Linked DNA regions of Daphnia pulex. The protein of the gene in region 2 interacts with the protein of the main gene of each other region in a biochemical or structural test. Links are inferred from orthologs where the notes say so. Each region holds a gene or a part of one and is shown on either strand. Other genes may lie near its edges.

Region 1 (3,470 bases), on a different chromosome or scaffold from region 2:
GTAGCAGTAATTGAAGATGAAGCAAGGCATATAAGGATGACAATCCTTTTCCATCCCTTTCCACCAATGAAGGATTTTAAGGCGCCCGCAAAATCGTGCTAACTTTCATCTTTCACGTCAGTGTCTCGAATGCCTGCGATGAAAGGGGTAATGGTAGAAAGGGTTATTATTTTCGAAGACTTAAAACCAATTTGGCAACTCTACCTTCTTTGTGTGAAAGTACAAAGGCGCAATAATATTCCAGCAATAACAAAGGAGGATGAAACAGTTTCTCTCATTTTTGTCTTACAGCTTGGAATTGTGAGCATAAACAAAATAAAAGTATGGCAACCCTGAAAATCGTGCGACACTGATTTGCGATTGTCATTTAACGAACCCAGCCGTTATTGCATAACGAGCTTCTCATACGACTACTAGATGGCGCCACCGCTCGGATTGGCCGGACATCCTTGAGCCCGTTCGGTAAAAAAATGCCACACTTTTGGGGTTTTTACGCTTCAACCCGGGCAGTGACCCGGGATTTCATGTCCCGGGTTAAAGCCGTAGTCGACGACTCTTGGAAGTGAGTAAAGTAAGTTTACCCACCATATTCGATGCCATGGTATCTTTCTATCTCCATACTTTTTCTTTTGTTCATCGAAGAAATGGACATTTTTTACTATATGTACTGTATAGTATCTATTGTTTTCTTGTGAAATGGAAACAAAATGTATAATCATGTCAAAATTTTTCGAGCTGAAATTATATCTGATTTTCTCGTTAGCTAAGGTTTGTATTCATGAACGCTTCTAACATGAAATATTAAATTACAATTAGTTATTGAAATCTGTATTTTAAGCCGAACAACATATATCAACAAACACAATCACCCATACCCATCACACCTATATAACTGCAACTTTTTTTCGAAAAGGAAAAATGAAAATAGACGATTCTTTTTTCTTTTGACAACAAACGCGCCAACGTCCTAATTTCCTTGGATTGGAGTCGGAGGATTAGTTGATCCAGCAGTCTGAGTCATGGTAATTGGGATGACTCGTTCTTTAGAACCTGAGGAATTACAATCCAAAAATTAGACTTCTGCACGATAAAAAGTTTAATTTTGAAATTGCCTTCAAGCATAATTTTTGGAGCCATAATGGTCAAAATTCCTTCGGGCGACATAGTGGACGTCACCGTCTCGGGATTTACGCCTTGGGGAATGGTAACACGACGACGAAATCTAATTAAGAAAAATATTTAGCTTTTAAGATTAAATTACACCTAATGAAATAATAACTTACTCCCGCGAGACGTGTGAGAATTGATCCTTGCGTTCCTCATGCTTGGCTAAAAAAAATAATCACCCATTTTATAGCTCACATTAAAGGAAATGTAATTGATAATTAGACTCACCGTGGACAATGATGTTATTGTCGGTCGTCTTCACAGAGATCTCGTTTGGCTGGAAATGCGAAACATCGACCATCACCTGAATAATAAACAATTTTTAGTTCACAGAGCACAGACACACCCACACACTCAAATTAATAACAAACAATTTGACTATATACCTGAAACGATTTGTCGTCTTCCTTGACGCTGGATAAAAGTTTTCCAAGTTCACGATCCATGTGACGCATCGATCTCCTCATTGACCGCGGAACAATGTTGAATCGGTTCAAGAAAGGATCCAATGTTTGCATCGGCTCGAACTGAGTGAGCTGATTGAATGGATCCATCATGCTGTCGAAGGGATCGTTAAAAGGTAGGAGAGACATGATAAGCCTAAAAACATTTAATCAAAATGAATAATTAAAACATGAAGTAAAAAACATAACGGCTAAAAATACAAATAATTGGAAGATGGGGGAGATCAATCACCAACAGCGAACGGCTCTGCAATAATTTGCTGGACAAATTGGGAATCGTTTTATACTTGTCGCTGTAGACGAGATTGCAACGTTTTTTTTTAACTGCACGAATGGTAAAAACTAAAAAGCATTTGTCACTAGTAATCGTTAGACTAATAAATCGTATTGCCATCGTTAGAAAATTATCTTTAACAAAATACCAATTACCAAGTATAAGTTCCACTTCATTTACTAATCATTTACCTCGAAAATCAACGTTTGAATGGCTGAGTAGAGAACCTTCTAGGAATCGATAGCTAACCTATATAAGCCCTTGGACAAACCGTTCCGAGCCTCAGTCGAGAAATTTACGTTGCCAATTCTTTGACGTGTTCTCTCCAACTTTTTCCAGTTCGAAATCATGGCTCTCTGGAACATCGATCCTTTCTTTGATATGGGCATGGGCTGGCCTAGAGATCCTTGGGCCGTTTATCGCCAGGACCCGCTGACTCGTTGGATGGAATCGTCTCTTCCTTCGGTTTTGTCAGCAATTGACTTCGCTCCCACCGGCACCCGGCGTCGTTCACCAATCAGGGAAGTCGTCAGCGACGAGAACAAGTATCAGGTAAAATTCCCAACCGTTATATCGCTCTTATTCATTTCCATATTTAATTCTATTGTGTTTATGAAGGTGACTCTTCACCTGGGAGATTTCAAGTCCGACGAGATCAACGTCAAGCTGGTTGATCGCAATCTCGTGATTCACGCCGAACACAAAGAAAAGCCCGACGAGCATGGCCACATCTCGCGCAACATCAAACGCAGTTACATTCTCCCTCGTAACGCGGATTTTGAGAATCTGAATGCCACTTTGTCGGACGACGGAACTCTGGTGGTTTGCGCTCAGAAGAAGGCGGTTGAACCGGTTGGTGGCAATAGAATATTTTTTAAATTCGTGTTTTAAAATGTTGTGTGGATGTATTTTTACCAGGAGAAGGAGCGTGAAATTGAAGTGAAGCAGCTTCCGCCTACATCCCAGCAGTCCGTGAAATCCGGGCAGGAGACGCAGAAGGGAAATGTCAACATTCCCGTGAGTCGTGAGGCCGGCAAAAACTAAAGCAGATTGGAAAATGGATTCCCATCTTTGAAGGCTTTTTGAATCGTCGAAGCGTGTTGTGATTCGTTTGGAATCGTTAAGATTTTAATCAAGAAATGTGTGCTTGTTATTGTGTTGAAAATTATTGGAGTCTCGTCGTAGGGCTTGCATCTGCTTCTGAGAAATGAGAATAAAGAATGTCATTTTTGAAACAACTTTTGTAACGCTGATATTTAAATAACTCATCGTTGGCGTATTTTTTTCCATTTCACAAGGCCGAAGAGAAAATTCGAGAGAAAATTTTATGACAGATAATTCGACGCTATCAGCCACAAGAATATTGGAAATTAGATGATTAATAACATCTGGTTGGATGTTGCAAATCCAGTTTGGCCAAAATCTTATTTAATCCGGTTAAATATCCGGTTTAATTCGATTCGAATCAATTTTCGACTCATTTTCGCAATCTGGCAAATGCCAAACCGAGTCATCCCAGATTGCAGACTACAATTTCCACACACGAAACGTCAATTTGTAGTTTT
Region 2 (4,535 bases):
CCAAAATGAATATGGAATTAAATTATTATTGCCTGGAATCTGATGTTGGATAAATGGATTGATTTGAAACTGACAACACTGATCATGAAAGGAAGATTCAGGTAGGATAGGAGTTTTAGAAATAACCATACAATCAATAAAATCTTTCAAAGCAATTTCAGGATCCCTATATCGCATTTGTGGAGCATTCTTTTCTGCTAGATTGTGAAGCCTTGTTTCATCTTGATCCACAAGCTGTTCCACATTAAATGAAATAGGCTGAAGGCGAGAAAAAATTTGCCTGGATGGATTCAAAACTGTTGAAACCTATACAACATCCAAAGATTATAGGTTTTCTTTAGAAAATAAATCATAAAAAAGAATACCTTTGAGTTTAATAATTTCTGCATTTTTTTATCCTTTTCAACTTTGTGGCTGAGTAAATTCCGAGTTTCAATCTCCAAATTCTTCAGTGTTTCAAGGTTTTTCATAAGGACAACAGAACTTTGAAATATCGGTTGGTTTAATTTTTGCTGGTGTGTTGCAGTGGTTGAATAGCTGCATAATGTTGAATTGTATGTTTTAGGTATCCCAACAGCTTGGATTCTTTGAAGTATGTCCACATGAGATGTTTCATTTTCAATTACCACAATAGGAGAGTTTATTTTACTTTTGGCGTTTGAAGTGTTGAGAATTTCAACGTGAGAACGTTTCTTGACAGACGAGAACCTTTTTTTGGTGTCAGATGAAAATAATTTGTTTTTACCGACTTTGTCTAGTGGAACTGTTCCGTTTGCACCTTTTTTCAACACTTTTACGGTCCCAGAGTTTCTTAGCTGTTGAGAAGAATCCTTCGATGGACGAGACCGCTCCATCTCACAATAGTGATCTTATAGATGAATATGTAGTTTCCAAAATAGAAATCCAATAAACAACAACCACTAGCAGAGTTTCATAACTATATAACTGCTCTGCAGATATTTAAAATTGTTAATGAAAAATTACAACGAACACTACGTTGTCAGACGGTTAATTTATATCATATTACTTGTGAAATATAAATGAATGAGAACTTCAAAGAAAGGTGGAAAAAATCGCAACGAAAAATATCATAAAAGGATTTTTTCTGGCTTACCACTCTTTTTATCTCTGGATCACAAATTTAAAACGGATTTTTCGACCATTTGGCAACGGACAATTACAAGAACATCGTCTGTTTCTACTTCAAAAGGCCCGATGGCGATCTTTGCTTTCATTTCTAGGGATCTGTTAGCGCCTCTACTGTGCTCAGGTTAAATAATAAAACCTTCCGAAATATAAATCAAGAGAATATAATAAATTTGGATTCCATAAACCTTACACATTCAAGAGAAATAGGAAATATCTATAAAAAGGAGTAAGCAACAAAACGGTAGCCGAATTTTGCCAAATATTTGCAATGTACAAGAGATGGCGCTCTATAAATCTCAGAGCATTAAAAAGCAACTGGAGGCATTTACACTAGATTATCTAAGTTACAGACACACGATTCACGAAGATCTGGTGACCTCGTAAAAGCTCCATATTTGCGGATCACGGTTTCGGTCACTTTACCCAGCTTTATTAACTTTCGTCATTGCTAGTTAAACTGCATCTCTTGTTGACATGGCTCTGTTTCGCACATTATCTTTGCGGTTAAGCTCCCCTCCTCAGGTAAAATATAATTGGTATAAGTGAAAAAATCCTCGACGTCTTACTTCTGTTCGAAACAAATTTCCGCCTTTCTAGGATCCATTTCTTTAAATATTGCAAAAATTCTTTCCATGTCTTTTTTTAATTAGCACTTTTGTTTCAAATGGTGCCTCTAATATATATAGTTGTATAAATATTGGTATTCTCATTATGTAACACATTTTATAATTATCCTGCAGGGCTCTATTTCTACCATTGTAAGAGCATTCTCTGATCATACTGATCTGAAGGATGTTCTTAACAATAAAATCCCTTATGAACAGGAACGTGTCAAGAAGTTCCGTAAAGAACATGGCAATGTAAAAATTGGTGAAATTACAGTGGATATGGTGGGTTACACATATGAACAAATCACATGATGAATCATAAATAACCCACAAAAAAAACTAGGCATATGGAGGTATGCGCAGCATGAAAGGTTTGGTCACAGAAACATCTGTCCTAGATCCTGAAGAGGGAATCCGCTTCAGGGGATTATCTATTCCAGAATGCCAACGTATGCTACCTAAAGCTAAAGGCGGGGAAGAACCTCTACCTGAAGGTTTATTCTGGCTTTTGATTACTGGAGATGTTCCAAATGAAGCCCAAGTAATATCTGATGGATATATCACTTGTATGTTTTACCTAACTATTTTTCTTAGGTGAAAAGCTTGTCTAAAGAATGGGCAAGCCGTGCTGATCTTCCATCTCATGTTGTGACCATGCTCAATAATTTCCCAGCCAACCTTCATCCAATGTCACAGTTCAGTGCAGCAATCACTGCCCTGAACAGTGAATCCAAATTTGCCAAAGCTTACTCTGAGGGACTTCACAAATCTAAATATTGGGAGGTAGGTGACCATTAATATTACATGTTTTTAAACACACGATATCAATCGATTGATGTGACCGTTATAGTACGTCTACGAAGATTCTATGGATTTGATTGCCAAACTTCCTACTGTCGCTGCCACAATCTATCGTAATTTATATCGCGATGGATCTTCGATTGGAGCGATCGATACCAAAAAAGATTGGTCAGCTAATTTCGCATCCATGTTAGGATACACCGACCCTCAGTTTACCGAACTGTTGCGACTTTATCTAACTATTCACAGGTAATGCCGTCTTGGCATTATAATTAAGTCAAGTTTAATTGGCGTTACTATTTTTTAAATGTTTTTGTAGTGATCACGAAGGAGGAAACGTTTCGGCACATACAGTCCATCTGATAGGATCTGCTTTATCAGATCCATACTTGTCATTTGCTGGCGGTATGAATGGATTAGCAGGTATTCTAATTTAGCACGGTTTATATGTAGTGAGGTCCAAATTAAAATGTTGTTGTTGTTTACCAGGACCTCTTCACGGACTGGCCAATCAAGAAGTTTTGGTGTTCTTAAACAAAATTACAGCTGCTTTGGGAGATGGGTGGACTAAAGAGGGTTTGGTCCAGCTCATTAAACAGCAGCTTGCTTCTGGACAAGTAGTACCTGGGTATGGCCATGCTGTGTTGCGCAAAACTGACCCGCGTTACACTTGTCAGCGTGAATTTGCTCTCAAGCATTTGCCCGACGACAAGATGTTCAAGCTTGTTGCCCAGCTATACGAAATTGTCCCAGATATCCTTCTGCAAACAGGAAAGGTCAAGAATCCTTGGCCAAACGTTGACGCCCATTCTGGTGTTTTGCTGCAGCATTACGGCATGTCTGAAATGAGCTATTACACCGTACTATTCGGTGTATCTCGAGCACTCGGTGTGCTGGCATCTTTGGTTTGGGATCGTGCGTTGGGTCTCCCACTCGAGCGACCCAAATCCATGTCAACTGATGGACTTATGAAATTAGTTAAATCCCTCCAATCCCAAGCCAATGCGGCAAAAGGAGCGTAATAATTTTGACGAACTGATAGTAATATACAACCTTACTACATGTTAAAGAATCAAACTTTTACTTTGTTTTCGTGTTGACTGTAAGTCGAATCCGTGTTAGATTATTCCTGAGTGTGCGACACCATCTCCTGGAATTTTTTCAATGCAAACCTAAATAGAATTTCTTAATAACGGCGACTTAACTGGAACAAGGGATTGGTACAAACACGTTTCGATGGTGTCACCTGTCATAGTAGTAATGAGAAGTTGATCGTCTGTAAAACCCTAAAGTAATAGTTGTAATACCCACAATAATAAACGTTTTCACTGGATGTAACTACACCGAAGAATTTTTGATTGATTTTGTGTTTCAAAATTTTATTTCAACTTCAGCGCTACTTTTTCGTCTTCTCCAACTGCTACAAGCCCAACACCCACCCACCCACCTCCCAAAAAGAAAAAGCTTGCATTAAGTTAATGAGAACATGTTTTCCCGGCAACTTCAAGATATTATTTGTTACCTGTATTGACATCACCGGTTTTGGGCGTTATGCACAAATATGGCTGGTTTGGAAATGCTGTATCTAAAAAGTTGTTTCTTTTCAGTTTTTTTCTTTCTTTTAATAAAGCTATTGCGCAATGACGAAATATTCTAAATTTAATTCTATTTTTTATGTTATTTTCTAAACAAAAGAAAATATTTTTTTCTCGTTTTTTTTCTGTAGCTACCTACGTTCATTCTTTTCATTGGTTCATATTGATGAAAGTGATTGAAAAATTGTAAATGGACGGTTACCACTATCAAGTTCTTAAATATTCCACTAGGGCGCTGCCGATTTCTAGTACTAGGCTACTAGCTGTATGGCTGCCCCAGTTAAGGATTTCTTCTGTTCTCAGCTCACTTCGTAACAGATTTTATGGTTTAGGTTGATCGATAGTCGATTGAATTTCTCTTCGAAGGATAAATTCTTAACGC

The links.
Region 1: the proteins of probable citrate synthase 2, mitochondrial (region 2) and alpha-crystallin A chain-like form a complex in vitro, tested with the Homo sapiens proteins (3 studies listed by BioGRID). The link is inferred for Daphnia pulex from reciprocal best matches to the Homo sapiens genes CS and CRYAB.

What each region holds. Positions count from the first base shown.
Region 1 is NC_060026.1:2,241,555-2,245,024, reverse strand, and holds alpha-crystallin A chain-like, read right to left. Parts: upstream 1,985-3,470; 5' UTR 1,833-1,984; intron 1,768-1,832; 5' UTR 1,761-1,767; coding exon 1,554-1,760; intron 1,472-1,553; coding exon 1,396-1,471; intron 1,330-1,395; coding exon 1,284-1,329; intron 1,223-1,283; coding exon 1,113-1,222; intron 1,051-1,112; coding exon 968-1,050; 3' UTR 813-967; downstream 1-812. Other genes in the region: alpha-crystallin A chain-like, read left to right, coding at 2,254-2,457, 2,524-2,757, 2,824-2,949. UniProt on the Homo sapiens protein: May contribute to the transparency and refractive index of the lens. Has chaperone-like activity, preventing aggregation of various proteins under a wide range of stress conditions.
Region 2 is NC_060018.1:6,453,888-6,458,422, reverse strand, and holds probable citrate synthase 2, mitochondrial, read left to right. Parts: upstream 1-1,471; 5' UTR 1,472-1,623; coding exon 1,624-1,671; intron 1,672-1,889; coding exon 1,890-2,039; intron 2,040-2,100; coding exon 2,101-2,298; intron 2,299-2,351; coding exon 2,352-2,540; intron 2,541-2,607; coding exon 2,608-2,807; intron 2,808-2,877; coding exon 2,878-2,981; intron 2,982-3,047; coding exon 3,048-3,580; 3' UTR 3,581-3,896; downstream 3,897-4,535. Other genes in the region: uncharacterized protein LOC124189052, read right to left, coding at 1-306, 366-854. UniProt on the Homo sapiens protein: Key enzyme of the Krebs tricarboxylic acid cycle which catalyzes the synthesis of citrate from acetyl coenzyme A and oxaloacetate.